Linked DNA regions of Stegostoma tigrinum. Each later gene encodes a partner of the first gene's protein in a complex. Links are inferred from orthologs where the notes say so. Each region holds a gene or a part of one and is shown on either strand. Other genes may lie near its edges.

Region 1 (16,014 bases):
CTCTTCACTGCTTGGAGTCATACTTGGCACAAAGGAGGATGGTTGTTGTTGGAGGTCAGTTATCTTAGTTCTAGGTCATCTCTGCAGGAGCTCCTCACAGTCGTATCTTGGGCCCAACCATCTTCAGCTGTTTCATGAATGACTTTCCCTCTATCAATAAGGTCAGAAGGGGATTTTCGCTGATGATAGCACAATATTCAGTACATTTTGCAATTCCTCAGATACTAAAACATTCCATGTCCAAATGCAGCAAAACCAGGACAATATCCAGGTTTGGGCTGATGAGTGGCAAGCAATATTTGTGCCACACAAATGCCAAGCAATGACCATCTCCAACAAGAGTAAAACTGATCATCTGCCCTTGACATTCAATGGCATTACCATCACTGAATTCCCCACTTTCAACAACTTGGGAGTTATCATCTCCAAGACAGAATCTAACCACCACTCCCTTGATATTCAAAGGTGTTATCACCAATGAATTCCCCGCTATCAATATCCTGGGAATTACCATTGACCAGAAATTGATCTGGACCAGTATGGCTACAAGAACAGGTCAGTGTCTAAGAGTCCTGCAGAATGAACTCACCTCCTATCTCCCAAAGCCTGTCACCCATCTGCAAGACGCAAGTCAAGAATGTGATTGAATACTCACCATTTGTCTGAGGGGTGCAGCTCCAACAACACTCAAGATGTTCAACATCATCAGGACAAGGGCAGCAGATATATGGGAGCACCACTACTCTCAAGTTCCCCTTCAAGTCTCACACCATCCTGACTTGGAAATATATCACCATTCCTTCAGTGTTGCTGGATCAAAATCCTGGAACTCCCTCCTGAACAGCACCGTAGCTGTTCCTACACCAAATGGGCTTCAGCAATTCAAGAAGGCTTATCGCCACCTTCTCCAGGGCAACCAGGTCAGCCAGTGACGCATTCATCTCTGTCAACAAATTTAAAAATGGAGTGAATTCTCATGAAGTCTGATTCATTGGAAACAAGTAAAAACATCCCAAGACACTTCATAGGTGTGTCATCAAGTAAAGTTTGACTCCGCATCACATAAGAAGATGGAGTATAAGGTTCAAAAGCTGCATCAAAATAGTTGGTTTTGAAGAGCACCTTAAAGGATGCAAGTAATGTAGAGAGATGGAAAGGTTTAAGGAGGGAATTCCAGAGTTTAACAGCCCAGGCACCTGAAGACACAGTAATCAATGGTAGAGTGACGGAAGTTGAAGGATGCTCAAGAGGCCAGAATTAGAAAAGCTTAAAGATCTCAGAGGATTGTTGGGACTGGAGTAGATTATAAAGAAAGGGAGGGATAAGACCATGGAGGAGAATTTCACAATCAACAGTAATCACCACCTACTTCCCTTTCAACTGATGAATGAATATTCCTAAATATAAAAATAGAGGACTTAGGAGCAGCAGTAGGCCATTTGGCCCATCATTCGTTAACTGCATAGCTGACCTTGTTACAGTCAAACTTGGTCTTCCCTCTATAACTCCGACTGCCTTGTCAATCAAGCCATGAATAGATCCAGTTACCAATGCTTTCTGGGAAGACGAATAACCTTCTGAGAGCAAACATCCTCTTCTCTATCTTAAAAGACTTATTAATCTTAAACAGTGTCGCCTAGTTCTTGTCTGTGCCAGGAAACATCTGCCCAGTAACTGTCCGGTCAGTTCCTTTCAGGATCTTGTATGTTTCAATAGATCACCCCTTGCTTTTCTAAACTCTCAAGGGGTATAAATCTGGCCTGTACAACCTTTCTTTGTAAGATAAGCCTTTCAAGAATAGATTAGTGATCCCTCATCTGAGAAAACAGTCTTTATGGTCAATTTCAATAAAGAAGTAAAGTTCTTAAATTGAGGTGATCCATTCCAGATGACTATCACTATGGTGCATTAGTGTACACATTAAACTAGCTACCTCTCTCTTCAATTGCTTCTCTTCAATGACATTTTCTGCCAATTTAATATAATTAGAAGGAAACCAAGGGAAGGAAAGCATTGAATATTTTCAGTGCAGGTAACTTCAAAGCCCTTAAAGAGAACCTGAATTTAACACCTCATTTAAAATGTGGCACTTCCAAAGTACACCTATCTCACAGTATGATCCATCCAACAGTACTGCACTCCCTCAGTACTGACCCTCTGACTGTTCAGTATTCCCTCAGTACTGCTTTTGCACCACTCCCTCAGTGCTGATCCTCTAACAGTGCAGCATGCCCTCAGTCCTGGTGCTCTCAATCTGGATTATATACTCAAATCTCTGGATAGGGTCTGAAATCAAAGCTTTGACTCTGACATAAGAGTGCTACCAATTGAATTGAAGCTGAAACTCCAATATATGAGAATAATTTATCAAAGGCAATACATACTACAAAACATTGATGATCAGTTCTGATGAAGGGTCTCATGTAAAAGCAATAATTTATTTGACCTCTCTACAAATGCTATGTTTCTAGTACTCACGGTTTTTGTTTCAGATTTCTATCTTTATCATTTCTGTTCCTATCTCCTGGGTTTTCTTGTTATTCATCCCAAAATGTTCATAAAAGCAGTCAGTCCACAAATCACTCCATTGTCAGATATTGTGGAAAATGGTGGGAGGGTTTATGACTGAGTGTTTTTCTTACTGATGGAGAGAGTGTCAAAGCCTATTTCATACGACACCTTTAGTAGCAAATTAATATTTTTAAAAAACAAATATAAAATCATTTATGTAGCTATTTTGGTCCTCTTTGACCCATAATTAATGGTTTAATTGGCAAGTTACCATTTTAATACATTGATACCGCTAAATGTAATGAGACTAAAAGCATCTTTTGATGTCCATAAAACATATTTTTGATGAGTATTAATAATGATTAAACAGGACCACAGATGGTACAATTTCACACACAGCTCCTTTAGTGTTTAAAGCTCCATTAAGCTTAGACTCAGCACATGCATAATAAATGATATGTGCTTCGGCACAGGGATTCTTTAATGAATGGTGTCACTGGCTTCCACATCAATCACTGCCAGCTCTCACTATATGCAAAATATTGATTCACTTTTAAATACATTTTATTGATGAAACAATTAACTTGTCATCTGATCTCTCCCCCTCATCTCAAGCCTCTCTCCCATTCTTATTTCTGTGGATGATTCTGTCAATATTGCTCAATGACCTCTCCTCATCCTTTCTCAGTTCCATAAGCCCCCAGTTTAAGTGCCCTCTCTACTTGCATCCACAATGTGTTGAGATGACCCATTGCACCACCTCCAACTCCAACTCATTCATTCCCAGGCTCTCCAAATTGTGCATGTCTTGAGCTACTTGAGCCTTCCCTTCCCTCCCCTCCACAATCTACAGGCATTTAAAACCCAAACTGGATTTAATCGCACCCCTGCTCCAACTCTCTGCATCATGATTGTGTGGTGCTCTGTACACTAGGTCTTGCTTCATTACGTGTGGCTCAGTGAGTAGCAAGCACCCATGCTCTTGAGAATTGACCGAGTACTGCAGTGTCAGAGATACCATCTTTGAGACAATGACACATGAAACCTGTCTGCCCTCTCAGGTTGGACGTAAAAGATCCTGCAGCATTTTTGGAAGAGCAGTAGGGAGTCCACCCTGGTGTCCTGGCCAACATTTATTCCTCAATCAATATCACAAAAAAATAGGGGATCTGTCATTATGACATTGCTGTTTGTGAAAGATTGTGTGCGGATTTAAAATAAGCAGTAGATCATCAGTAGGACACCTTGAAATAAATACAACAAAAACAAGAAATTGCTGGAGAAACTCAGCAGGTCTCGCAGCATTTATGTCGACAGATTTTGTGCGAACACAATCTGGTGAAAATCTGCTTGGAAAATGAAGTTGCAGTATGGTCCAGTAGGTGGCAGGCTGTGCCCAGCCTCCGCCGAGGGGGAAGCTGCTTTCCCGGAGTCGGCACCAGCTCATGACGGTGACATGGTCCAGCAACCTGCAGAACACTGTTCACTCCGTGTCCACCACAATATGCTCACCCTTCGGCGTATTGTAAAAACTGCAATTAATTTAATAAATTCTACATAATTCAAAAGTCAGCATCTTTTGTCCACACCACCACCTCCCCTATTCCCACATTTAGCTGGATTAGGATTTTGAGGGACTGAGAATGGAATTCCATACTGTTTAGGAAGTTTGGGAGGGGAGCGTGGCAAGGTGGGGTGGGTAGGGTCTGAATTAAATCCGATGAAGTTAAATTGATTTCATATCAGACAGCTGGAGGGCGATTTTGCAAATGAAACATCTAAATATTATTGTTTTAAAACTTCCAAAGCCTGTAAACACTACAGATGTTTAACAAAATAACCGCTGAGTTTTATAAAACAAAACTAACCAGATTTGTTTTATTTTGGAGCGGGAAGACATGCACTGATCAGATACAGAGGGACATGTACAAGGGGACAGAAAGTAGCGAGAATGGGGATTTCAAAGGTTTCAGATAAAGGTCGGGGGTGGTGTCTATATGAGCAGGGCTATGGGAGAAGGTTGCAAAAACAAAACGAGGATTGCATTTGAAACGGCTCGGCTTTTAAATTCTCCTGGGTTAAAAAGAGGGTATTTCTCGCTTCAGTCCCAATGGATGGGCGGCCAGGTCAAGGACAGGGTCCCGGAAGGGAGGGAGGGGGTGGGGTACTCGGAAATCGATGGTTCTTGCCCCAGGGCTTCTCATCCATCAGCTGAGGCCCAGTCATTCGCAGAGACAGGCCGAATCTGCAAAGGTCACTGCAAGTCAGAGCCGACGGGCGCTGAGACAGAAGCACAGGGCGGCCGCAGTGGTTTCACAGAGCGGCGGAGGCACCGCCAGGCGGCGGCACTGGGACGCAGATCGCCCAGAACAATCCCGGGCCTCGGTTGGGTTCACTTCTCAGGACGGGCCGCACAGAGGGGGCGCGATATCATCGAGGATGGTTCAACACGGTTAAAGGGCTCAATGGAGAGGAAAGACTCCCTCTTGTATTAACGGAGACTCTAGAGAAGTTGAGGTGGGAGTGGGGAAGGGCAGAACCTTCACCACGAGAGCCAGGGCCGTCTGGGGTTGGGGGGGGGGGAGGGTGAAGGTCAGGAAGCAGAAAGGAGGGACAATCTGCAGCACTCTCCCTATAAGATGAGGCTGGCTAAGGGACGCCACTTGAACATTTAAAATCAATTGATGATAGATTTCTGTTCATTTAAGGGGATTAATAGAGCGGGTTCTTCAAGTTAAGATGTCGATCAGCTCGTATTTGACTGAGTGGCAGAACATGCTTGAAGGATTGCCTCCTCCTGTTCCTGCGGTGAATGGCCTCCCCCTTTCGTGAAACGTTGGGACTTGGTCATGTCAAACCTGGAAACCAAAGAGACTTTTTTTTGGCCTGTTTGTTCAGGCCAAGGGCTCCCACGTCATTATGGCCTTAAACTGTACAAATCAATCGCAGGTTGACATCTTTGTGAACCACAACCCCAGACAGAATCCAGAAGCGAGACAAATGTACCACTAAATCATTTTAAATAACCTTCTAATGCGTTCAGGAAAAAAAGGGATATGTTCAACGAGCCTAAATCTCTTGCTACCAATCGGGTTTCCAGGATCTCCTCCAAGACTCCTGTTTCCACATAGAATGGAAATTCTCTCCGGAAATCTGACTTGGTATAATTCATTGTCGACCAAACCTTCAACCTTTACCGTTCTTGCCCAGGCTACTGTCTTCAAGGCAGTCCCACCACCATGCGGAAATCAACAAAGTTGGAGCCAGGATTTTCCTATTGCCAGCCCACGCCCACCACGCCAAGTGTTTTTAAATCTGAATCCGAATCCAACATTCAAACAAGACAGTGAACTCCCAAAAAGCCATGGATTTTGGTGGTCAGTTGGAAGTTTCAAACCCGAGAGCTATAGATTTCTGATCGAGGGTGTGTTCAAAACAAAATCCCGCGGATGCTGAAAATTTGAAATAAACACAGGGAATGCCGGAGAAACTCAACAGGTCTGGCAGCATCCATGCAGGTTAGATAGAAAGCAGAGTTAACGTTTCGAGTTCTAGTATAATTTCTTCAGCAGTTGAAGGTTCACTGGACCTGGAATGTTACCTCCAGTATCTCTCTCTCTCTCTCTCTTGCCCCCCCCCCCCCCCCCCCCAGACGCTGAGTTTCTCCAAATCCGCCATGACCTAGAGGAAAAGCCTCATTCTATACCTGCAAAATCACCCCATGAATTTGCTTTATTCCCAAACAGTTTGCTGTGTTCGGACCGGAGACAGCTTTCTGTTGTTTTCGATGTTAAACATTTGTTTTTGAGGTTTGGGTCACAATGCGTAAACTAGCACATGAAGCTGCACCTCCTTAAAATACACCCAAACCCAACGATGGAGAAATTTCATCGCAACAAAACCCAGCGGATATCTGGTTTACAGAACGTTGGATGAAGACGCAATTTGAAAGCGTTCTGTCTGATAGTGAACAAGCTGAAAACCATGCAGGAGCAAATGACTGCAGATGCTGGAATCTGTACTGAAAAAAACGAATGCTGGAGATCACAGCGAGTCAGGCAGCATCCACGGAGAGAGAGCAAGCTAACATTTCGAGCCTAGATGGGTCTTCATCAGAGCTGAAGACTCATCTAGGCTCGAAACGTTAGCTTGCTCCCTCTCCACGGATGCTGCCTGACCCGCTGTGACCTCCAGCATTCGTAGTTTGCTGTCAGGATGAAAACTCGGTCAGCTCCTCTCACCTTTAATACGGAGAGGAAAACCGGAAACTATTCGTGTTTTTTTTTCTCCGTTGGCCTCTCTCTCACAAACAACATTTTTGCTGTTGTTGTTGGTTTATGATAAATCCGATAGAATAATTTCAGTAATTTGATCCAACGACGGAGGAAGCCAGAGTTCGACGAGTGATTTCACTTATGTCGATGTTCGCGAATCTGGGGGTCAAGATACAAGGCAAATCCGTTTTGATTTCGTTTTATACAGAAGCCTTGTTACAATTACAACTCAGGTTGAATGCAAGCCTCAAAGGACAGTTCACACCGAACGTTTAACTGATTCAATCGAATGATGCATTCTCTGGTCCTGTTTTACTTCTTGGGATTTACGAGCCCGAAGACAAGGAACGTTTTAGTCCTCTTTCGAAGACCTAAGAAATATTACCTTTTCTGTTTGCCCTGGGACGTTTTATTGCGTTAAAAGCGCTATGTAATTAGAAGTTTTTTTTACTGGTGTTGTCGAAACTGCGATTTTACGGGGGAAGCTCCCGTCCTCTTAATCTAAACCTGATAACAATCATTCAATTACAAAGCAGGTATGAACGTGCATTTCGGGTTTTTAAGTTGAATCTCTCCACAAAGTACCGACTCCCTAATAATTGCAACATTTTGCATTGTAACATCGAGTATTTTCTGACCTCGCTTGGTTTTAGTAAATATGAAGTATAGAGTCGTCACGATTTTAGCTCCCAAAACAACTTAGAATTCGTCAATGAAACGGACCTACAATTGACAATGCAGACTATTCCGAGAGTTCACTGCAACATAAACAACAAACACGTCGAGCAACATAGTTTGAAATGTAGAAATAGCTATTGCTTTAATGACAAAGATTAACAAAGTGATGAATAAGCGAGTAATTAATACACATAATAGCATCTCGTGGTTAAACGCTTTTAAAACAGACCTGAACTTAACAAGGTGAATCTAAACTGGGAGAGGAATTCGAGCTTTATTACAAGCAAATATTGTCAGAACCAAAAAGCCCCGTCTGTACCCATACCCCACCCCGCTACCCGCAAGCGAACACTGCCGCAATTGTCAATATTTTAATTTACCAGAACCCCCGCCAAAAAACTCCCGAAACCAGTGGTGTTCATTATAAGTCAGTATCACACTGATTTAAAAGGAACAACAATTTACAGAGAGAGTAAAAAAGCTAGACAGAAAAAAAAACCTGTAAAGAAATTAGAAATTAAACGTGAGGACAACGTCGGTGATTTATATACACGTTTAGGAAAGGTACTGTCACTTAAAGCGAGGAACATGAACCTGTAAACACTCCAGCTGGCGCCCCACAGAGCGCAGTAAGTGGGCTAGGAGAGCGCCCGAGAGGAGCAGAATGGCAGCCCTGAGAGCAGGTATCCTGAGACAGACAGCGCGGCTAAAGGACGAATGGTAACGGGCACCTGGCACAAGGCGATTTCTTATTTTCTCTCGCTCTCTCCTGAAAGCCTTTTGTTTGGCTCTTCAGCCAATCCTGGATTTTTACGACACAATAGTTGTGGCCAAAGTAGTGATATAAAAAGGGGCGCCTCAGTTGATCACTTATCATCCACTAGCGTGTTACTCACCGACTGTCCTCTCCTCTCCTCTCCCGGCTACAGTCTGGATTCCAGAACTTTTCATTTTCAACAGGGCATAGACACACACAGAGATCATGCATCAGTCACACGTTATCTTTTGCCTTCTGGTCTCTCTGGGATTGACAGTCAGTGACGAGCCAGTTTTGGAGAAAGATTTGGAAGCCAGGGAGAGGGTCTTGGACCAGGCGGAATGCTCAGCCTGCTTGTGGAGGGAGCACAGCAAAGCCTTGAGGTTGGAGTCCATTAAATCTCAGATCCTGAGCAAGCTGCGCCTGAAACAAGCTCCCAACATCAGTCGGGATATTGTCAATCAGCTCCTGCCCAAAGCTCCCCCTTTGCAGCAACTGTTGGACCGATATGATATTCAGAGTGATGACTGCCTTGCCAAAGAGACTCTTCTGGAAAACGACGAGTATCACGCCACGACAGAAACTGTCATTACCATGGCCACCGAACGTGAGTACCTCCGTGCCATCTCACACATATTGTGTAATGATCATGCCGATCGGCTCAAACAGAAATTAAAGGGGAAAATGCTCATACTGGGGAGTTCAGTCTCTGGCAGATTATCTTAGAAACTTGAACTGCTGTTGTCGCTAATAACGACAGTTATGTGAAATGTCGCTTAACAACCTCGTGTTGCTGTATCAGGCACCTCCTAGTAGCTCTCTTGATGAGGTAACGATTCTTGAACTATCCTCTGAGCGGTTTGGTGTGCAAATATCGCAAACAGTAAAATCCACATGCCAATGCCATCCGTAGCCATTGTGTGAGACTATGCAGTAGATCCTAAATCTTTCGTTCAAAAGAATCTGCAAACCTAGAAGTAATCTTAAACTAGCTTTTTCCCCGAAATGACAATGAATTAATTACGCCACTGTTAACAAACCAATCTTTTACCCAATATTTCTAGGTTATCAGTCTCAGATCACTATCCGAAACAACTTTAATTCTGCGCTAGATGATATTACAGGAAGTTCTATTCTACAGTTTCCCGTAGTCCTAAACCCCAATTCCCGGACGATATTTTATAAAATAGAACAAGAGTAATTTCAGACCAGAGGACATAAAATATCACGGTCATTTTTTAGATTGTTCTTCACAAAATAATAGCAACTTCTAGAATTTGGATCATTAAATATCAGTAATTTCTAAATTATAATTCAAGAAATATCGCAAGTTCTAGACTGGTTCGTTAAGCTACTACAAACTAATTTTAGACTACAGTTGATAAAATATTAATCTATTGAAATTAGGGTTATCATTCAAAATAGCACGACAATTTCTAGCCTAGAGAACATGAAATATTGCAACACTTCAACTTTCATTTCTATAGATTATGAACTATCAGAAACAGCAATTTATTGACAATAGTTAATTAAATGTCAAATTTCTAGATTATTATTGAGAAAAATCATAAACAGTACCATGAAGATTATTATTCATAAAATACTATTTTCAGAGTTCAATTTGTACAATGTCTCAGACCAATTTCAAAACCACGGCTAACATCGCAGAAGTTTCCAGACTACTGTTCAAAAATAATAAATAATCACTTCTGGACTATATTTTATAAAATATTGTAAACTAATTTCTAGAGTACTATTTAAAATATCAGATAGCGATTTACATTAAATATCGTAAAAAGTCATTTCTGTACTCCATACAATGAAACAAACACCAATTCCTAGCTATAGTTCATAAAATATCACAAAAGGTAGCCTCTAAGCTATAGATCTTACAATAATATCACAAAACAATAACATTAAGCAAAATTGAGGGTGCAGGCTGCTTGGTTCTCTTTAATACTGCACAGTTAAACATTCTGTTTGTTGTCAGAGGAAGTGGTGGGGGTGACTGGCAATGCATTGGAGTTTGTGCTGCAGGGGATATAGAAAAGCAGGGCTGTTCTTTGTGGAAGTGAAAGCAATCCTGTTATGAAGACAGGAGTAAGTTGAACTGAGGGTTGACAAGACAGTCATAACTGGGAGGAAATGATGAAGAGATTGCCCTATATCCAGTTAAGTGTCCCATCCTTTGCATATATACTTACTGCTTGGGCACAGAAGACATTGTCCCAGTAGAATGTTTCTCCTCTGCACCTTCAAAGAGGAAACGTTTGGGCACATTCATCCTTTTGCTGCTGTGTTTTAGCATAGAACGACTGCAGTGGTGCACAGTAATGTCTTGCACAAAGCAATTTCCAGTTCCATTCACTGAGTACCTCCAGCAAGATCTCCAGACAAGTTTGCAAAGTCTAGAGTTCCACGAGGCAAGTCATTTAGGTACAGGGCGCTACTTGGAGATGATTGGGGGGGGGGGGGGGGGAATTCCCATCATCTCTTTTATCCTCTTCTGTTTGTAGACACAATTGGAGGGAGAAGACCAAGATAGGCAGTGTTTGGGGGGAGTAATGGTAATGGTAAGGGGTAATGGTAACTATCATAGATAATACAACTGAAGCCACTTGGAATTCAATGGTTTGGCTTAAATGGGTTCAATGCCACCAACAAGAAAGCATTCTCCATTGAAACTCCATTTCATCATCTTCATGGCATAATATGTACTAGTACTAGCCTAGTGACCCTGTGTTACACCTCAGTATCTGAACTGTTTTAAGAGCATGAGCTTGCCTAGGCATTGCAACTCCCATTCTTCTCCTCGGAGGCTCCTGCTGAAATGAAGTGAGACAGGTTGGTTTCAGGCACAATACAACAGTTTGTCAAGTAAGTGTTTCACTCCCATCACTGAACATATGCATGCTAGAACCCAGGGACTGCAATTAGTTTGAGGAAGAGGACACTGAATTAAGTGAGGACCAAATGGAGATGGCAGGATGCCACATGTCAACAATTCAGGCAGGGAGCTGGTATGTTACTGGGCATGTATTCATATGAAAATTGATGCAGGGATGAAAAAGGCATTTGCCATTGTTTGAGACTAACACGTGCAGCCTGCAGTCACTGGTATTGGCACCTCCACTACCCCTGCAGTCACACAGCATGCCAAGGAGCTTGTGACACCTCAGAAATCTGTAGAAGAGCCCCAAAACTGAGGAAATGAGTACTAAGTAGCATTCCCATAGCACTGTGAATGACATTCATTAAAAGCTAGACTCCCAAACTGCGCACGGTGGCTCAGTGGTTAGCACTGCAGCCTCACAGCGCCAGGGACCTGGGTTCGATTCCAGCCTCGGGCGACTGTCTGTGTGGAGTTTGCACATTCTCCCCGTGTCTGCGTGGGCTTCCTCCGGGTGCTCCAGTTTCCTCCCAGAGTCCAAAGATGTGCAGGCTAGGTGGATTGGCCATGCTAAATTGCCTGTAGTATTCAGGGGTGTGTGGGTTATAGGGGGATGGGTCTGGGTGGGATGCTTCATGGGGGTGGTGTGGACTTGTTGGGCCAAAGGGCCTGTTTCCACACTGTAGGGAATCTAATCTTATTGGCACCAGATGAAAAGACTGGTCAATTATTTGCAAAGAAGGCATGGCATCTGTGTTATCCACATCCAACACAGACTACTCCATGTGCAAATCACTGGGCATCCAGATTGGATACTCAGCTATGGTGCTCAGTAGGATTCAATGGACCAATTAGGTGGTTAAAATTAACTTCTACCTCACCCCCTCCCATTCCACCCAGCGTCCTCAAACGGATTGGGCAAGTGTCTGAGAATGAATTTGCATTGGCAGTCACTGTAGACCATTAGACGTAGGAGCAGAATTAGGCCATTCAGCCAATTGAGAATGCTGCAGCATTCAATTAGAGCATGGCTGATCTAATGGTCTTTGCCTTCGCTTTCCTTCATTTTCCCCATAACCTTGAATTCCCTTACTGATTTAAAATCTGTCTGACTCAGCCTTGAATATATTTAATGACTCAGCCTTCGATGGTTAAAAAAATGCATAAGATTCACTACCCTCAGGAGAAATTCCTCCTCCTGTCTTATTCTGAGAGTACCTCCTTTGGTCCCAGGCTCTCCCACAAGGCAAAACAACTCTCTACATCTACCCTGTTAGGTCCCCGAAGAATGTTCTACGCATTGAAATTTTGAAGAATGAGAGGCAATGAGTACAAACCCAACCTCTCCTTGTAAGACATTTCCTCCACCCATATCCTAAATCAGCCTCGTGAATCTTCTCTGGATTGCCTTCAGTGTCGATATATCTTTCCTCAGATATGGGGACCAACTGTTCAATGTATTCCAGCAGCAAGTGCCTATTTTTATATTCTGTTCTCTTTGAAACAAATGTGAATATTCCATTTGCCTTCCCCATTTCCAATTAAACTTGGATGCTAGCTCTTTGTAAATCATGCACAAAGACTCCCAAATTCCTTTGTGTTGTAGTTCCTCCATTTAAATAATATACAGTTCTTCTACCTGCCAATGTGCACAACTTCACATTTTCCTGCATTGTTTCATCTGCAAATATTTTGTCCACTTGCTTAACCTGTATATATTCTTCTTCAGACTTTGTGTCATCTTCACTAGTTGCCTTCCCACCAATCCACATCACCCCCATAATTAGCTATAATACATTCACTTTCCTCATCCATTTATCTGTATTGTAAATAGTTGTGTTCCTTATTGTACTCCATTAGTTACAGGTTGCCAACCAGAAAAAGTCTCCCCTCTTCTACCAATCCCAACACTATCTTTTAGTTAGCCAATCCTCTATCCATGTTGTAATACTGCACATAGTGTTGGAGGTAGCATATCTTATCAAATGCCTTCTGAAAACTCAAATAGATTCACTACTTTGTCTCTATCTATCCTGCTTGTTACCTCTGAAAAATTCTAATCACTTTGTCACAGATGATTTCTTCTTCATGAAACCATGCTGACTCTGCGAGAGTATGCGTCTCTAAATGAGCTGTTACTACATCCTTTATAACTGATTCCAACATTTTCCCAAAAATAGATAGTAAGCTAACTAGCCTATTGATACTTGTCATTCATTTCCCTCCCTTTCTAAATAAAAGGCATTCCATTGACAGGTTTCCAATCCTCTTGGACTTTTCCACAATCTGAGAATTCTTGGAAGGTTACTAACAGTGCAGCCATGATCTCAGTAGCTATAGTCTTAATAGCCTAAGCTGCATCCCGTCAGGTCCAGGGAACTTATCAGTCTTTAGCCTCATTGGTTTCCGTAGCACTTTTAGCATTGTTTAACATGTCTCCAGAAGCAGCAAGGACAATACCTGACATGTCTAGAGTCCAAAGGCACCATCTGAACAAGCTCAGATCATCTAACCTCAATTTACCACTGTAGCTAATCCTCCAGATTAGGGAGTATATGAACTCAGCCCAAGACAAACATACCTCATTGGGAGGTCACCAAAGGAAAATGCAAGTGTAGGATTTATACCATATTGCCTATGCACACAGCACAGAATACATCCTGATCTTATAGTACCCTTTGGAAGGAATGTGCAACCTGTTCTTAGGCTTATAATAGATAAGCTTTCCACTGCTAGCAGTAGTTCTTGATCAGAGTTCTGAAGCAACCTTTCAGCCTATACATAGCATTCATGTTAATCTATTTCCTCTCCCTGTAAGCCTACTCCATATGACTTCCCATACTCACTCGTCTTTGAGGGTCACCATTTTATAGCACGCAGACAATAAATGCTTCAAGACTTTTGCTGTGTGTAGGGTAAACTTGGCCACTTGAACAGTCTATACATCGGATGAAAAAATACCATTCAGCCTCACAATCTTGTTCCAGTGGACACTGGATTACCACATAATTCTGGTGTTTTCCTTGCAACTTTAGGTGCCTCAGTACATCAGTCCTGTATTGACTTCTAGTTGGAGATCACCAACCTTAGCGACCAAGGGGTAACCTGGTTCAAAAGAAATCAAGTGATGGAAACTTTCTTACCATTGCTCAATGATTCAATCTCAAAAGACACTAGCTGCATTAACTAACCTGTAATGGTGCATCTGGAACAGGAGGTGGCAGCTTGTTGGGTGCAGTGGAGTACATCCTCATCAGTTTTCCAGGACAGAAAGCACCAGCTAGGCACACATTTGTTGGGTGGGTGGGCTCTCTAATACAGACTTACACAGGGCATGCATATAGGTATCAAGGTCATTCATCTCGATCATGCCCTTTATGGCAAAGATTGCTCTCAATTACTGTTCAGGTGGCAGCGGACCACAAATATATTACCATGTATTTCAGTGGCTGTCATCCAAGATGCAGCTACAATGTCCCCACTGTGCGTGTTCCCACAAAGTTGAAAGACACCGGTTGGATGATTTGTAGGAGAACAAGGCTACCCTCTACAATTATAAACCATTGATCTGGACACCACTGAGAGAATGTCCTTAACAGCAAAAGCAGCTTGACTTGAACATCTAACCATCTGCTTGGACTGTTATTAAAATCTTTAGGAAAATTGCACCTTGAAACTTAGATATGATGGGCATCCTGAGGCTGTGAAAAAGCCTTTGGAAATGCCTTTCTTTTCCCTTCCGGCTGCCACAAACATGGTCCAGATTATGATAGATGTTATTACAGAGGCTGAAACAAATCAATTCAAACATTAGCATGTTGCGCATGCTAAGTATGTTTGATCCACAGCTCTTGTGCAGTTAATAGACATATTTAAAATTTGCTTTTTTTTGGAAATACTATCTCAGCCTATCTTGCAGGATTGAGCAGTTTGTCTGAAGCTATTAGAGAATGCAGAAGTGTAAAGAAAAATGTTATTTGCTTCAATGATTTATAGAAGATACAATGGAGATTGTAGGAGAAGGTTCTCCTAGAATTGTGGTCAGAGACACTGAATGAGAAAAATACCAACAGTAAAAACCCAAAAATATAACCAATTTCCTTGTGTGTTGGTCCTTCTTATCCAATTCATACAGCAACAGTTAAAGTAATTCTCATTTTCCTTGTTTGGTTAGCTGCAGCTTGCAATACAGTATTGATTATCAAGTCTAGCACAGCAAACTAAACAGTTTGTAAATAAAGAAAAAATGAAGGAGGAAATAGAAGTATCTTAAATGTTTGATGCAGAAGTAGTAAATAGGTTTTGAAAAAAAAGTTCTGTGCTTATATTACAAAAAGTTATTTTGAGCTATAGATTTTGTGTAAGATGCAAATAGTTATTTTAAGTTGTACCTTGAGTGCAAATCACAGACGTTTTACACAATTGATCCTTTGTATTCATTAAAAAGTCATTTTCTGCTATAGATCAAGTGTAAGTACAAAGTCAATTTACACTATCGATCAGATGCAAGTTGCAAAGTAACGTTATGCTGTATATCACGTCGCAAAGTCACTTAATGCTGTAGAAATGTAAGGCGCAAAGTCACTTTCAGCTATATTTTGTATGTGCAAGGCATTTTGCGCTATAGGTCATATACAAATGTGGCAAACATCATTTCTTATTCCATAATTCAAATGATTGGGGTACAGTACACACCTTCCAGTACTGAGGTTCATCGGTTAATGTTATAAACAACAATTTCTAAGCTATATTTCAGATCTGATTATTACTTGTGGGCAGTGTTTTCATGCAGAAATAAGTCCATCAGCAATTTATAGACCTATAATTTGTATGTTAATACCCCAGATAATAATAATTGCTATATTATGGTTCAATGGTTAATATCACAGTAGTTTCTGTGATAT
Region 2 (16,214 bases), on another chromosome or scaffold:
TACTCCATCCAAATAAACTAAAAGTTTATTAGCTTTCTTTAATGATTTTGATATTAGCTGTCACACAATTATTTATTTCTAATAGTGAGATTATTCCAAATGGCAGCCATATCATTTTAATTTCAGCAGATACAATCAAGTAATTGATCAGTTTTTAAATTTGACAAATATTGCAAGTATGCATTTGAGAGGAAGATAAATAAATACACCGCAAAGAAAGGAATGGCAAGTTAAATGAAAGGAAGGCAAAAAGAGACTAGTTTGGATCATAAAACAAAATGCTGGTTCCTTTGTTGCACTCATGTAAATTCATGCAGCCTGTCATTTTGGTTATTGAATATTGAGAAAGATATTACAGATTGTCAGATAATCTGACAGTCTTTTTCTGTTATATTTGCATTTTCTGCCATGTTAATAATTCATTCTTACATAACTTTAGTTCTATAGTATTATTTGGAGAAGTGAATGTAAGTAGTAAGAGATCTGCATCCACCAACTGCAAAGATTATTGTTATCATAACCATGTGACTTGGTTATGCTTATGATGAAAATGTACATTGACTGGATACATGCTCTTGGAAGACAGGTTTCTGAATGAGGAGAACAGAAATTGTGCAAGATTTTGAAAGATAACAACTTGCTCCAAATCTTAGAGAATAGCATGAATGCCCATATGTTTCCTTCTGTCGACTCAATATTATTTGTGAATGGCATGTAAAATAAGCATGGTTATTATTGCAGAAATTAATTTTTTTGTTTCATTTCATGCAAAGACTTTATTTCATTCAAATGTATAATATAAACAGAACAGCAGCATAAAATGAAAATTCTTGGTTTTTTTATTGTTATTCATTATGTATTTACAAATCAATGTTATTACTTTTTATATACATTGCACATTTACATGATAGAAAAAGTACAAAACTATATATTTAGATGAATTTAAATCTGTCATGTTCGAAAATATAAAATTGCATCTGCAACATAATACTTTAAGCAAAATGAAAACCCTGAAATATTTGCATTATGTTAAAACATTTAGAGAAACAAACCACTAAAGTCAGTCAGATTACATGCGGCCAGAAAGTGATCTGACAGCCACGCAGCTGCAGAACATTTCAAGTTGACAAGTTCCAAACGCAGCACATTTGGTCACTTATATGGCACGCTGTAAACAATATCTGGAGCTTTATTTACATTAATGTGTAACATAGTCCAATAAATAAATATACCAGGTATAACATGCAGGCAACGTAACTAAAAATTCATAGCACAAAAGGAAAATGACCAGCCACATTTACAGCTACCATAATGCAATTTACAGGTTGCATGAAGGAGTGTATTTTACAAGCATCATACGTCACAATAAATTAATGATAACACTGCTCTCTTGACGAATATATTTCCAAAACAGGTATAGTTAACCAATTTTATGCATAAATTATAAAACATGACAGTATAAATAAAAATCTACTAGACATAACTATGTATACTTCTTCAAAATAAATAAGCGTACACTTATTTACAAATAAGTACAGCGACTCCTTCCTCTTCCAAAGGTGAAGGAAATTACCAAATCGGAAATGGTGATTTAGGAAAGGTGTTATTTTCTTGCTCATCTTCTTCATCTTCATCTTCTTCAGTAATGGCTATGGGGGAATATATGGTAGCTGTTGTATGAATAAGGATCACAACAGCGCAGAACCTCAGTGCATGTTTTCAAATCTCTCTGGATAGCCACAATAGTCTCTTACATGGCACAAGAATGTAGATTGCATCATTTGTTATTATGAAGTAATTTTACATAATACCAATATTGCAGTGTGTTCTGAAGAATCAATGATCAGGCTTTATGGCAGTTTCCTGGGATGACATAGAAGTGTTCTTGCGTTCTAAATTGACATTGTATTCATCCATTGCATTCCTCAGTGCTAGTGATTAAAACCTATCAACTATTGTAATAGCTTTAAAATACAGAACAACTGTGGTGAAGCCTTTGGAAGGTTACTATTGATAAGGACGCATCAGCTTCAAAAATAATAGATACTCCAATCTATTACTATCATGGCATTATAATCCCTGATGATTTCTTCCTCTCAATGTGGACAGCAATCGCTTCAGGACCCATTGTATGGTTGTTCAAAAAACCTTCACCATTTATTAGCTATAACATTTATTTAGCAATGAATCCCAAACAATTATAACTCATTGCAGCTTTTTTTTTAAGAAAACTAATTTTAACTACAGTGACAGCAAGATACACTCTGATGCCTAGTTATGTCTTATGAAATATTATATCATTTACTTTCACACCACGATCATGAGATCCTCAATTAGACATACTCCCTCAAGGGGAAAAACAGCGCACACCATTTCCAAATAAAAATTGTACAATAGTTAAAGAGTTGTGTATAAAACAAGATAGTTGTGTTACATCAATCCTGGCAGCATTTAATAAACATGCTGATATCAGAGATGGAAAGAATGGATAATGGTGGGCAATAATCTCAATGAAATGTAGAGATTGAACATAAATGAATGGGCAGATATACTTTCTTAGTATCGATGGGGAAGGTACCTGTACTATTGCTATCACACATCTCACAAATTCTTGTGTCAAATTTCCTAATTACTCATTAGTTCTTTATTGAAACTGTTGATGGTGGGGAGGGGAAGGAAATAGATGTATCCTGTTATCATCAACATATGGCAAAATCTTAAACATGCTTATCATTAACAAATTTATTGTCTGGCTAAACCTAGCACACAGTGCATATGTTCCTCCACTGTTCATATAGAAGCATGAAAGGCATGCATATTCCCTGTTTGATAGGTACAATTGACAAGGTTATATTTGGTACAGCAAAATGTTTGGAAAGCTGATAACATAAAACCTGGCATAAACAGTGAATCTTATTGTGGGATAAAATTTACTTACAATTGCACGATCCTGTATGTTTGATCTCCAGGAGGGTGCCAGAGGAACAGGCTGTACTTTTCATTGCACACTCATTGGGGTACGTGGTGTTATCAGTGGCACAGACTGGCTCATCTGAGCGTCCACCCTGACATACATTACAAACAGCGCACCGACCCCTGCCAAGCCGGCTATCCCAGAGACACTTCTTTCCAGGGGTACACTGTATGTCATCACAGGATTTGGCTTCTGAAAAAGATAAACCCAAAATCATATTTATGAATAGAATGATTCATTCTGTCTTTGACAATACAGTCAAATGTTTGGACCAGAAAGTAAATTTAAACTCTTCAACTGCAACGATTTGTCTGACAAAATTCAAAATGAAAACCATACTAACCTACAACCCTCACAATATTCATTGTTGAGATTTCAATACACCATGCTTGATAGATTTGTCAATGGATTTTTTTTCCACATAAGAGCAGAAAACATATTTAAAGACCGTCATTGATGCTAGCACTCAACATTATATTTAAGTATCTGTAATTAAAGACCTTCATTTTGTACGTATAATTCAATAGTTTAAAAAAAATTGAGAAATGTGTTCCAAACTAAACATGAATGAGTTGAACTACCAATAATATTTAAACCAATTAGCAGAGCTGTAACATTTGCTTCTATCATTGAACGGTCATAGTCCACATGAGTAAACATACACTCCAATACACATTAAGACTGCATTTCTAATCTGGTTGTTGAAGAATTTGGAATAGGTTGAAGCTATTAGGCAAATGCCCTGCAACAAATAATTTAAGGTTAAAAGCCACAATTGGAACGATTCAATTCTGAATCTTTCTTCTGTAATGCAATAATCCTGGACATTGGAGTAGGCGAAGCCATACGAATCTGCTAAAGTACTTTTAAATACGACAGCCCCAGATGGGAAATTAAACGTTAAATGTCTTTAAGTCTTCTACAATTGCAATTATAATTGTAAACCCATAAAATTAAAATAATCTTGGAAATTTAAAAAAAATCCATGATTGACAATTTCATTTCTCAGATTTAAGAATAGGTTCAGACGACACGATAACAAATTCTGTTGATTAGCAAAAATGATCTTTTCTCTACATGCTTCTATAAGCGATATCAAATGTGCTTTTTAGAGCTCAAAATCGAATATCCAATGTACTTCATTAGGTTTGCTTTGACATTTATCCATTGCATTCCAATTATACGTACAAAAAGAAAACTCATCCCACGCTGTATTTGTACTTGTTTCGTAATGGTTTGCAGTTTACGCTTTGTGAGGTATCGTGTACGTACTTATACATTTCCCTTCGTACGCCACTCCAATGGTTCTGCCCATCAAGCAGGTGGCGCGTCTGATATGGCAGGCGCTGGCGTACGTGATCCCATCATTGCCGCACAGATATTGCTCGGGGCTCGAAGGTTCAGGGCAGATCCTCGGGTTACACATCACACAGTAGGCGCTGTTTGTCTGATCTACCACACACACAGAGCTGCCTGGACACAAGACATCTCTGCATGATTCTGTAAAACAAAGACAGCAATTAAAAACAAAAGTGAGGTGAGCACTACTGGAAGTAATCTTCTGCAATACAATCGTCTGATTTTATGAGGTTTAAGTTAGTGTTCATAGTAAACACAGATCACTTTTAAATTTGCAATATTTATTTAATAGGCGAGGATTTGGAACAATAAAGAAATGGCGGTGGAATAATCCACTTTCTATACTACCCCAATTACAAACATTTACTGAACGCAATTTAATTTAGGAACAAAATGTGGGGGAAATTATTCTGAACACAAATCAATTCAAAGTTAAAATGCGGGCGGTGTGGAGAATCACTCAATAGACACTGCAAGTGAGTTGAACAATCTGTTAGTTCGCACTAGGAGAGAATGGAATGCAAACATCCTTTAAGCGAGCGGCTCGTCCCTTGCAGAATCGTGTTATTGAGTATGTACTTGTTGCACACATACTTTTACATTTGCCTTGATATTGGACCTCGAGTTCGGGATGCCCTTTGCACCTCGCCTTCAGCAGGACACATTCATCTTTGTATGTTTTCCCGTCTGTGCCGCAAACGGAGCCCTTCCAAGTGACGTTGGAGCAGTCGGGTGCACAGACACATCGAGGTTTATTCTTTTTGTTCATTTTGCACTTTTTACCTGGACCACAATCGACGTTATCACAGGTTTCTATTACAGGGAAAGAAAGACAAGAGTTTTGTGGAAATTGCTTCCATGCATCAATATAATGTTCGAAATGTAAAGTTACATGCCCATTCTTACTAACTGAACTGAGTAATTTATGACAGAACGTTTTGCATTTTTATAAGCTTTCTGTTTCCAGATGTTTAATGCAAGGTTTGATAAAACAGCGCAGACTCAGTCGCCATCTTAACAAACCGCTTAGAAAGCCATGACAATCCAGCGAGTCTTTCTGAAGCAGTTCACTCCAATGAGTCGAGACCGAGTGGGTGATTAGCCAAAGCAAACGCGCATTAGAATCATTTCGCGAGCGATCTGTAAACTTTAATAGGCCTTGCAGGATCCAGTGAAGATGAGCACCAACAGTTCCGAATCAGATAGACCGAGTGAAATCTGTACCTTTACAAGGCGTACAACCCGGGGCTCCACCGTTAAAGATAATCCATCGGAAAAGGGTACTGGATGGCACATCATCTTCGGTCCATGCTGTGCCCAACCTTCCACTTTTGCAGCACTCTTCGCGGCTGACCCCGGTCATGTAAAGAACCTGGCATTTGCCGTTCTTGGCTTGCTGGAGCCAGCAGTTCCCAGCTGCAACACACAGTCAGAGCAGTGTCAGTTTCACCGTTCCAGACACAACACGTGCGCTGTGTATTGACGGTACACGAGTGTTTACTTCAAAGTTTTCCGTCTCAGTCTGGGTGAACCGAGGAGCTTAAAACCACCGACATTTCCCCGCCATGGACAGTAACCGGGTTGCCCCTGAAATGTACACCTCTCTGCCATTACCTTGTGCCTACTTTGAATCGTGACATGTCCCACTTGGAAAGTTACTTGGCTCTGACCCAATACAGCGCAGGCTGAAGTACTGTAAACGCGTGCGGTGGAACAAAAAAAACTGCCAAAACTCATCCTTACAGCGAAAACGCAGAGCGCAAAATCCGAAATAAATAAATGATTGGCGGCCTACTTGTCTCAGACTCATGCGAAAACAAACTTTGGTTGACAATTCGACAAGCGTCTGTATTTATTCTGTATTTACCTACGGCGTCGGTTATGTGTTAAGTGTTAACCGTTGATTTTTAAAAATCTATTCATACAGTCACTCCGGAATAGAAACATAGTCTATTTTCTGTAGTATTAACTCGTTCCAAAAATGCCTGAACTCTGCTGCCTCTTCTGGATAGTCTAGACTTCTTGTTGATACCGCCTGATATCAATCTAAATATATACTGTATATCGAGTTTTCAGTTACATGGAAGAGACTTTGTTGAGGTAGCAATATAGAACAGGCAAATTTAACATCACACAAGTCAATAATTTCCATTGGACCCAGTTATCATACTCGCTTCTTAATCCTGCTTCAGTCGCATGGTGTTACCGATGTGAGCAACATTTAACAGCTCGATCGGACGTTTACATGTTCGATCCATCTGCAACATCAATGAGGCGTTTTGTTTATCAGCAATTCCCCTTTGCTTCTAACTGAATAGTGATCGAGTAAACTTTCACTATCAGGATCCCAGCACATCCTATTTATGCTTAACTATTTGCTCAGAGATAATGCTAAATTGCACCCTGCTTTAATTCTGTACGGCCACATTCTGGTAAATGTGAATTGAGTACACAAACACGTGTGCTACATCGTATTTTGATCTGAAAAGTTTGGAGTAGAAGTAAAGGATAAACCGAATCAGCGTTGGGCTTTATCTTCACTCGAGAAAATAACATGCAGGCACATGACCAAACAGAACATGAAACTAAGAGCCATGTCCACAAATGTATACAGAGAAGAGGTCTCCAAACTGCTTTAACTTACCCTGCACTCGCTGGTCTCCAATGGTGAGGAAGATAAAAAGTGAAATGGTGAGAGACGCTGTTCTGCTGTTTAGCATCCTTAGCATTGTGGCACGCAATTTCACCGCAGCTAAGTACTGATCTGAGAGCACCAGTCAAGTCCGATCGCTGTGTTGAATGAACGTCAATCTGTGAATGCAGTCACTCTTAAATATTTTGGCTGAAAGGGGTCTTGGCTGGTCTCTTTGGTGGGCGGTCTTCTGATGGCATGGTGATGCGTTTGGCAGGATGGGGGAGGAGGAAGTGATCAAAAAAAAGTTAAGGTGGACGGAAACTTAATCAGGTGACATTTCACCGCCTCCTCTAAACTTTTCAGTTAAAATCTCCGTCAATTTCACAAACACAAAATACATCTGTATAACATCCGAGAGCGTAGGCATCCGAGTCTGGTTACAGGTCACAGTGTCAATTTCTCTCTGTAATTGACAAGATTGTACAAGCTCATGGAGAAAGATTGCGGGGGCGGGAAGGGGCTGAAGTAAAATATACTGTTCCTAGGTGTATTAAGGCTTCTGCTTTATTTTGTTCTCTTATTGGGCCACCTTTATATCTACAGCGCAGTAGACATTCTAACCTGTTGATTTTTTAACCAAGCTATATTCCGAAAATAGAAGCCAGACACCATCAGTGGGTCAAAGTAACTGGTCTCAATCTATGCACAAGAAAATATAACAGCAGCCAGAGTAAATGCCGCCCAGCTTTTCTAATCCAATTTCTCTGGTAAAGCGACAACTCCACCCTCAGCTCGCCCATAACCTGTGTACGTAATGTCGATATTTCGTCTCATGTCTATGTCTCGGAGGGTTGGATAGTACTGAAAAGAGTTTATTGTTATGTCTAATCTCCATTAACTCAGCATCAAAAAGCGCGTGGGGTGGTTTTTGCATTGCAGTGTTCTCTTGCAGACTCCTACAGTTTGAACTATTACCAGTATTTTAGTTTTATTATTTATATTAATGATTTCTTGCCACCTGAGTATTTCGGGAAATGCATCACTGTATTAAATGGCTATAGTGCAAACCAAGGACACTGACACCGTGGGTGTGTTCAGCCAGTAGGTATTGGAAAAGCAGTTAGATTTAATACCCAGATCTGGCAAAGTTACGCGTCTCTGTAACTGGAGCAGACTTCGCATGTCTGTGAAATGCCGTAGGCGGTCTCGTATTTTCCATTTGAGATTGTGACATCGAAAGTCGAATTTTAGTGTTGCTCAATGAACTCGCTTTTGGCGGAGAGAAAAAGTACGTAGGCGATCTGTCGCCGCCTATCTCGGGGATTACGTTTCCTTGTTTCATTACCGTTTCGGCGCTATTGCGTTCTGTCCGAAACCTCACCCCAAGAAAAAGATAAAACGCGCGGTCCGACTTTAATTGTATTCAGCCTGATAGGTACAAACAATCAGACAACTTTTTTAGTGTTGATAGGTGCAATGATCTGACTAGAAATAACTCCGCGATAACAGACAGTTTCCACCAGCTGCGGGATAAAGTAGTAATCCTTTAATAAAGACTTATTACAATAGGTTCTTAAAGTCTCTTTATAATAATCGTCAGAAATGCAATCATTCTAATATTAGCAGAGACAGTTGTTTGGGTGCCTCAGGCTGGTGGTAGTAGTTACACTATTTAACGTTCAAAATAGACCTGACAGTGCCATGCCAGCGGACAGTAGGAAAACTTGTTGCACAAGGCAGTTCCACGCAAATAATTTCCGTTTTCAATGCTGCGAAACCGTATTTTCTGTCCCAGATTATCCTGGCCTGTTATTCCACAACATGGCAATTGTGGTTTGATACACGTGCAAAAAAAAACTAATGCAGCCCCCTAACGATCCAAACGAGGCAATTGCAGCTAAAGTGTGCACCAATCGTGATTTCCAGTTTATCTCGCCAAAGCGACCAGAGACTTTCCTTCTTGCCAAATCTAGATTCTGTGTTAGTAGAGTTAGAACCGTGAAAAGTCAACGTAACTGTCACCTGGCGAAGGAAGTCTGGGTTTGAGCAGATACTGGTAAAAAAAACCAAGATAACCTAAAACATACCGAAATACACCTACCATTCCCAAATCAAACTGCGCAGCAGTAGATAACAACATTAGGTAGACGCGAGACATCACATTATATTAGAATTTATTTTTTTAAATAGGCAGTGGAAATTACCAATATGAAGATATTTGTACTGCCATTGTGCCATGTGTCTCTTGCCAATGTTGTTCACATACCTATGTATTTGTTTCTGAAATCCCCTTCCAACGGGAACTACGCACATCTGTCATTCTCGTGATTTACTTCGTTTTATGTGCGTGTCACTCTGGCTATTGGATGTTCAACGTTTGTAATCCAACATCAAGTATCTGTTACAGATTGAGGACTGACGAACTGGACAATCTCACCCAGTTCTGATACATCTAGCGAATAATACCGACTGCTGAGCAATTTACATCCTCAAAAACAATAAAAGGAAAAACAAGAGTTTTGAAAACAAACATAGAATTGACAATAAATTTAAAAGATTAATATTGGAGGCAAACTGACGGGTGTGAAAAATAATAGAAAACAAGTATTGCGCAATATAAATCGTTATCCATAAATGGTAATGAAAATGGTAATGAAAAATCAAGGATAAATGCTGCAACAAAGGGGAATATAAAATAGCACATTAAGATAGTTCCTTTATTGATTCACGGGACGAGGGTGTCCCTGGCTACGCAGCATTTATTGCCCATCCGTAACTTCAGTTAAGAGTTAATCACATCGCTGTGAGTTTAGGTCAGACCAGGTAAGGATGGCAGTTTCCTCCACTGAAAGACATTAGCCAACCAAATGGGTTTTTCCCCGACAATCGATTCCAAGTCGTCATTAGACTCTTAAGTCAAGATATTTTTATTGAATCCAAATTCCACCATCTGCCAATAGCGGGATTCGAAGCGGCTCCCCAGAGCATTATCTGGGTCTCTGGATTAACAGTTTACTGATAACACCGCTAGGCTATCATTTCCCAGTGAGGGGATAGATAGTGAGGGCGGGAAACAGGAATGTCGAGGGTGGAAATTTATGAGAATGAAAATAAAGGAGACTGAAATGCAATTTCCGCTCGTCTACAAGGAAACTGAAGTGAGACCTCTGCAGGACGACAGTTGTATACGCTCATGCACATTTTTGACCCAGTTTCCAGAATCCGACAGGTGCTTGTTGGAAGTTTTACGGATATTGATGAGTTTCATACTAAACTTGAGCAATTAAGAATATGAGTCAAAGTGTTTAAGTTATGGTGACTAACAACAATTTACTATGGCAATCAAAAACTTTAAGGCAATCCGTTACTTCCACTTTGAAAACAGAAACCTTGTCAATTTCATAACAGCATTTGAAACAATTAATCTGCAGCTCCGAGGTATTTACAATATTTGGTGCTTTTCACAAGACTATAACATTGTTAATCAATCATTCAGCAATCCGAATGTGAAACAGAATTTGCGTTCTTCTACAATCCAGAATTGTTTCGATACGAGTACGATATTATTTATCAATATATTTGTATTTGAAGCTGGTTACGAATATGGTTATTTCCTTAGATAATCTAATACGTCAAGCAGCATAGGCCTAGTTACTGCTTCTAATATGCAGAACACTATAGTTAATTCTAAGATCTGAACACAATCCATATCCAAATATTCTGCAAAATTAAATGAAACAAATGAGCTTTACTGTTGTGCCTATTGATTGCATGGAAAAAATAATTAACTAACAACGAGGGGCTTTGGCATTTAATTGCTGGATACCATTTAAGGTAGAATTGAAATCAACGGTTTAGGTCGTCTGTCTCTAAGAGACAAATGCAAACATTTGTCAGCTTTTATTCGAAAAAAGCTTCTATACCCTCCCAAAGCCATTTTCGAATAGCTTGCTACGTGCTTTGAAAATTTAAACATTTTCGTAGCTTTACAAACCATCAGGCAAGTCCTTACTAATTTATAACCATGGGAAGACATTTGTTATTAAATCATCCACAAAAATAAGAAAAATATCAACCACCAAACGGTTAATAAATGCCGGAAATAACCAAAAACACAATAGATCGATCAGCATTTGTAGAGAGCGCCGTCCTGACTGTTTACACTTAATAGGTTCTGACTTCGTAAATTGGTTTTCACAGATATTGACTGCCACGAAATGACTAATACTCTTGAGTACCTGGAATTGTTCAGCGACAAAACAAAGTAAATTACGTATCAAATAAACATGTTCATGAAATGGCGCAGGCCATAAAACAATTGTTTTTGACGAATTTGAGTAACCGTTATCACACCTGTAAGTGATGCACTTGTTCGATCGAGGTTGTCAGTAGTCAAAACTAAACTTGGCAATTGAGTAGCACCCCACTATGAGCATTTATTTCAAATAATTCAACAGAAGGAATTGGATTGTTATGCTCGATGTTATCAGGCAAATTCTCACATGGACCTCAAATAATACCAAACTAACGGGAAAGTACATATTACCTTTAACTTCCCTGAACGTGTTACTTTCGGGACGCGAAGTATCCCAAACAATATATATCATCATAAATATCGTCGTAAATGTCAACAAGTTCTAAAGAAGTCTTGGTGTTTGGTACGTGTCAAGAGGTCCCTTTTACAGTCAATCTGACATACTTTCAATATCTTACTGAAGATTGTTTTAAAAATCAAAAACAAAGAAACGTAATTGCACTAACCGATGCGTGACTAGCACCTTTAGGTTCAACATTTTAAAAATAAAATCAGATCCAAGTTGTAATTTACTATATCAAATTCATGAATACAGCAATGCCATATAATGGCGCAGTAGAAGGGAAAGGTAAATGTACAGTTTCATTAGTCGATTTTCCTGACTGTTTGATATATTCATTGTTAATAAATAGAGTTGAATGACGACCAGAAATCCAATAAAGATGAAACTCTGCTACTGAATGTAAACACGTTCATATTTATGACATCTTATTCTTTGTATTGTTCTATTTATTACATCAACTATTTCACAACTTGCCTACAATATTGTGATTAATTTAACCATTAAACCTACTTAATGGACATTAATTCATTTCGATGCCACAGATTTAGCTCTGATAGTTGAGATACGCTAACTGTATCTTGGAGAGCGCAAACCTAATTTGTACAATGTCCCGAAGAATGTTATGTCAAAGAATCGGATTGTCTGTTTTCCAGCTATTAACAGACTCCTGGATATACATACCAAACAGATTTCTGTTTTTTTTTGTTTTTTTTTGTTTTGTATTTTGGAAGGTGGTTGGTTGGAAGATTAGTGAAGCAGAAGAAAATCTTTTTCACCCAGAGGGTGATGGGCATCTAGTATTCACTGTCCAATGTGACGGTTGTTTTGTGTTTTTTTGATTTTTGTTTTGTAATTAAGATGCTGGACACTATTTTTGATCTCATTCTGATGTGTTACCATTATAGTCCTGAGGTTGCGACTAGAACTAATCACGCCAAATATTATTTGATAACGCTGTTTATAGGTTTCACTACCTTTAATAGCAACATAAAAAGGAAACTTGTTGTTTCTATTTATCCTTAATGTCTTACTTGACTTCTGTCTTCAAAATCATCCAGCCTAATGAAAGGTTTATTTTAAACAACAATTATTAGTTTAGTGAGGAAACTAGCGAATGACCCAATTAGGTCACAGAATGAGGGCTGAATCCCGAGCTTCAACAAATAGATCAATAAGATCAAAGAAAAGTGACAAACCAAATATTCAAAAGTACAGTCAGATTGAAGACAAACACCTTCCGGAAGTCACATTCATTACAAGAAGCTCCAGTTTCAATACAAGTGATCGTCTTCGTGTTTTTGGTGATAGACTTCGGTGTAAAGACACATCCCGAGTTACCGGGTATGTAGGCACGCGTTGGCAATCGGTTTAGTAGACTGCAGCCACTTGGAGAACCGAGAAGGCCTGCATATTAATGATATAAATCGACATCCAGCCACCGTAAAACAACAATCTTTTTCATGTGCATTATTGATCCATTTTTGTACAGTACGCAAAGTCACTGGTTCTCCCCCGTCATTGAGAAATGAGCAAAGTCTTGGAACGTAATTTGTAATTTTCAAATGACCAAGAGAATAATACAACAATAGAAAAGTTATGACACAGAGAGAGGTCATGCAGATCGGCTGCCCATTTTATTCTCACTTTTCAGAGCCTGGAGTATGGCTTTATAGATTTAGGAGCCTGATTTATGAGTTTTCTCCTCAACCGTCACATTGGACAGTGAATACTAGATGCCCATCACCCTCTGGGTGAAAAAGATTTTCTTCTGCTTCGCTAATCTTCCGACCAACCACCTTAAATTTCTTCCCACCGGTAAATGACTTTTCCTCTATCTAATCCCCTCGTTATTTTATACATTTGTATTATAAAACAAACTTTGTCATTTTCAATGTCTGTAACCTTCCATTAAATTATTGTCATTAATGACTTGGCATTGTAGAAAACAACTGAGTGCTTTGCCTTGTTTTATTTAAATTAATAAAAGAGTTGAGATACATAAGATTATAGATACAGAACTTTTCATGGTCGCACTTGCCCATTACTCAGGTACCCATTCTATATCACTCTTGCATGACTTGGTGGTGCGAAATTTGAAACTTTCTTAAGTGTGATACAAACATTGCTGAAAATTTCAATTTGTTCTCATTACGACAAATACAAGAATGTTGCATTTTTAATGATCACAGCAATTTATACAACAGAAGAAAGAGATGCTGAGTTGTTGTCAAGTTGACTCTGATTGGCTGAGGCATTGCCATGGAGAAAATTACAGAGACCTATCGGAATCCACCTTTCAGGTAGTTCACAAAAGGTGCCAAGCTTGAACATGTTCCTTTCCTCCTTAGAAAACGGGTTCCATCAAATATATGTTGCAAAAATAAATGTCAGTTGATGAATTTAGATAAATATTTTAAATTGACTGTTCATGTAGCCAATAGCGCATAAAATTGTTCAGGAAGAGCAGTCCGATCACAGAAAAATGCAATTAAGCAATGCTGCACATGAACTTCAGTGCCAGAGATAATAGGAACCGCAGATGCTGGAGAATCCAAGATTACAAAGTGTGAAGCTGGGTCAACAGAGCCGGCCAAGCAGCATCTTAGGAGCAGGAAAGCTGACGTTTCGGGCCCAGACCCTTCATCAGAAAAGGGGGATGGGAAGAGGGTTCTGAAATAAATAGGGAGAGAGGGAGAGGCGGATCGAAGATGGATAGAGGAGAAGGTAGGTGGAGAGGAGACAGACAGGTCAAAGAGGTGAGGATGGAGCCAGTAAAGGTGAGTGTAGGTGGGGAGGGAGGGAGGAGATAGGTCAGTCCAGGGAGGACGGACAGGTCAAGGGGGAGGGATGAGGTTATTAGGTAGGAAATGGGGTTGCAGCTTGAGGTGGGAGGAGGGGATAGGTGAGACGAAGAACAGGTTAGGGAGGCGGGGAGGAGCCTGGCTGGTTTTGGGATGCAGTGGGGGGAGGGGACGAGCTGGGCTGGTTTTGGGATGCAGTGGGGGAAGGAGAGATTTTGCAGCTGGTGAAGTCCACACTGATACCATTGGGCTGGAGGGTTCCCAAGCGGAATATGAGTTGCTGTTCCTGCAACCTTCGGGTGACATCGTTGTGGCACTGCAGGAGGCCCATGACGGACATGCCGTCTGAGGAATGGGAGGGGGAGTTAAAATGGTTCACGACTGGGATGGTGCAGTTGTTTATTGCGAACCGAGCGGAGGTGTTCTGCAAAGCGGTCCCCAGGCCGCCGCTTGGTTTCCCCGATGTAGAGGAAGCCACAACGGCTACATCGGGTGCAGTATACCACATTAGCAGATGTGCAGGTGAACCTCGGCTTGATGTGGAAAGTCATCTTGGGACCTGGGATGGGGGTGAGGGAAGAGGTGTGGGGGCAAGTGTAGCACTTCCGGTGGTTGCAGGGGAAGGTGCCGGGAGTGGTGGGGCTGGAGGGGAGTGTGGAGCGAACAAGGGAATCACGGTGAGAGTGGTCCCTCCGGAAAGCAGACAAGGGTGAGGAGGGAAATATGTCTGGTGTGGGGTCGGATTGCAGATGCCAGTGTGATTTAAGATACGCAAGTTTTATGTCCCGGCCTTTGCCTGATTTAATCAACAAATATCCTTTTTCTGTTGTTCATAGTAGGCAGAGTACAGACCGTGCTTGACCAGCCATACTTGCAAAAGCCAAAACAAAATATTAACTCATAGATATTATTCTGCAATTGAACTGCATTGCCGAGCAACCCTGAAATCCCGAACAAGTAAACACTAGCTAGTAAATTAAGATAATCAGTCCAGCTCATAACATGGCTTATTTGTGTTTGTTAGAAGGAATATCAACACAGGAACCAATTCTCTAGGGACAAAATAAATGTATTCAAACATGTTGCATTTTCTTTGGTTCAACTTGGAGTGGGGAGAAATAGTTCCGTTTCCTTTCTTCATGCTAATACCTTGGCCAATCAGAGTTGTCTTGCCAGCCCTTTCTCCTGTAGTTTCATTTGTTTTGACTATTTGAAAGTTGGAAATCCTACGTTTGTCGTCAAGAGTGCAAAATGAAAAGTTTAAACGACATCTCTTCAACAATGTTATACTTAATTGCAAAATACACCCCCATAAGAAATCATCCCATCCTTACAAAAATACTGGTGTCACAAACTTGAAGCAAACTAGAGTTTTCAAAACTTCAGGTTCAAGTTTGAATCGTCTGTGAAATGCCAAGTAGAGAAATCAAAAGAAGTGAACTGATGGGACAAACGATGCAAGGAAAGGCACTTGTAATATGATAAATTATTTGCCATTCAAGATCACTCTCATAGGCGAAGTATTCTCGCCACTTGAAGGATACATTATGTTGTTGCGAGGTTTTAAAAGGGCGCCCAAGGAAGTTTTTACTGACATGTAGAACTATCACGCCTTTCAGCTACAGGAATAACTTTTCGCGCGGTTTCTTGCGTGCTGTGCCGTTTTCGTCTTTTCTGGGCCGTAAACACATGCTTTGATTATGGCTCCGACATTCATTTAACCTTTTTATTGATGCGATTTTAATATTTACATGCATTGAACCTTTTTATTAATGATATATTCATATTTATTGACCGTGACCAGTTGTCCTCTCCCCGAAGACATTATGTCCTTGTTCTTGCAATTA

What was found.
Region 2: the proteins of growth/differentiation factor 11-like (region 1) and follistatin-A-like are in contact, whole or in part, in a crystal structure (PDB 5JHW), measured with the Homo sapiens proteins. The link is inferred for Stegostoma tigrinum from reciprocal best matches to the Homo sapiens genes GDF11 and FST. Residues at the interface, in NP_005802.1 of Homo sapiens: Asn299, Leu300, Gly301, Leu302, Glu310, Arg312, Asp328, Trp329, Ile331, Ala332, Lys334, Arg335, Tyr336, Lys337, Tyr347, Met348, Phe349, Met350, Pro354, His357, Gln361, Ile380, Asn381, Leu383, Phe385, Asp387, Lys388, Gln389, Gln390, Ile391; in NP_037541.1 of Homo sapiens: Leu34, Arg35, Gln43, Val44, Leu45, Tyr46, Lys47, Thr48, Arg60, Ser62, Asp72, Asn73, Leu75, Phe76, Met79, Ile80, Leu134, Asp135, Arg149, Gln153, Pro154, Glu155, Val180, Val181, Asp182, Gln183, Tyr188, Val190, Thr191, Asn193.

Annotation. Positions count from the first base shown.
Region 1 is NC_081404.1:18,608,808-18,624,821, reverse strand, and holds the start of growth/differentiation factor 11-like, read left to right. Parts: upstream 1-8,292; 5' UTR 8,293-8,445; coding exon 8,446-8,827; intron 8,828-16,014. UniProt on the Homo sapiens protein: Secreted signal that acts globally to regulate anterior/posterior axial patterning during development. May play critical roles in patterning both mesodermal and neural tissues. It is required for proper vertebral patterning and orofacial development.
Region 2 is NC_081354.1:127,248,125-127,264,338, forward strand, and holds follistatin-A-like, read right to left. Parts: upstream 7,222-16,214; 5' UTR 7,063-7,221; coding exon 6,978-7,062; intron 5,750-6,977; coding exon 5,558-5,749; intron 5,147-5,557; coding exon 4,928-5,146; intron 4,475-4,927; coding exon 4,247-4,474; intron 3,167-4,246; coding exon 2,939-3,166; intron 1,671-2,938; coding exon 1,570-1,670; 3' UTR 955-1,569; downstream 1-954. UniProt on the Homo sapiens protein: Multifunctional regulatory protein whose primary function is to antagonize members of the transforming growth factor beta (TGF-beta) superfamily including activin, myostatin, GDF11 or bone morphogenetic proteins (BMPs).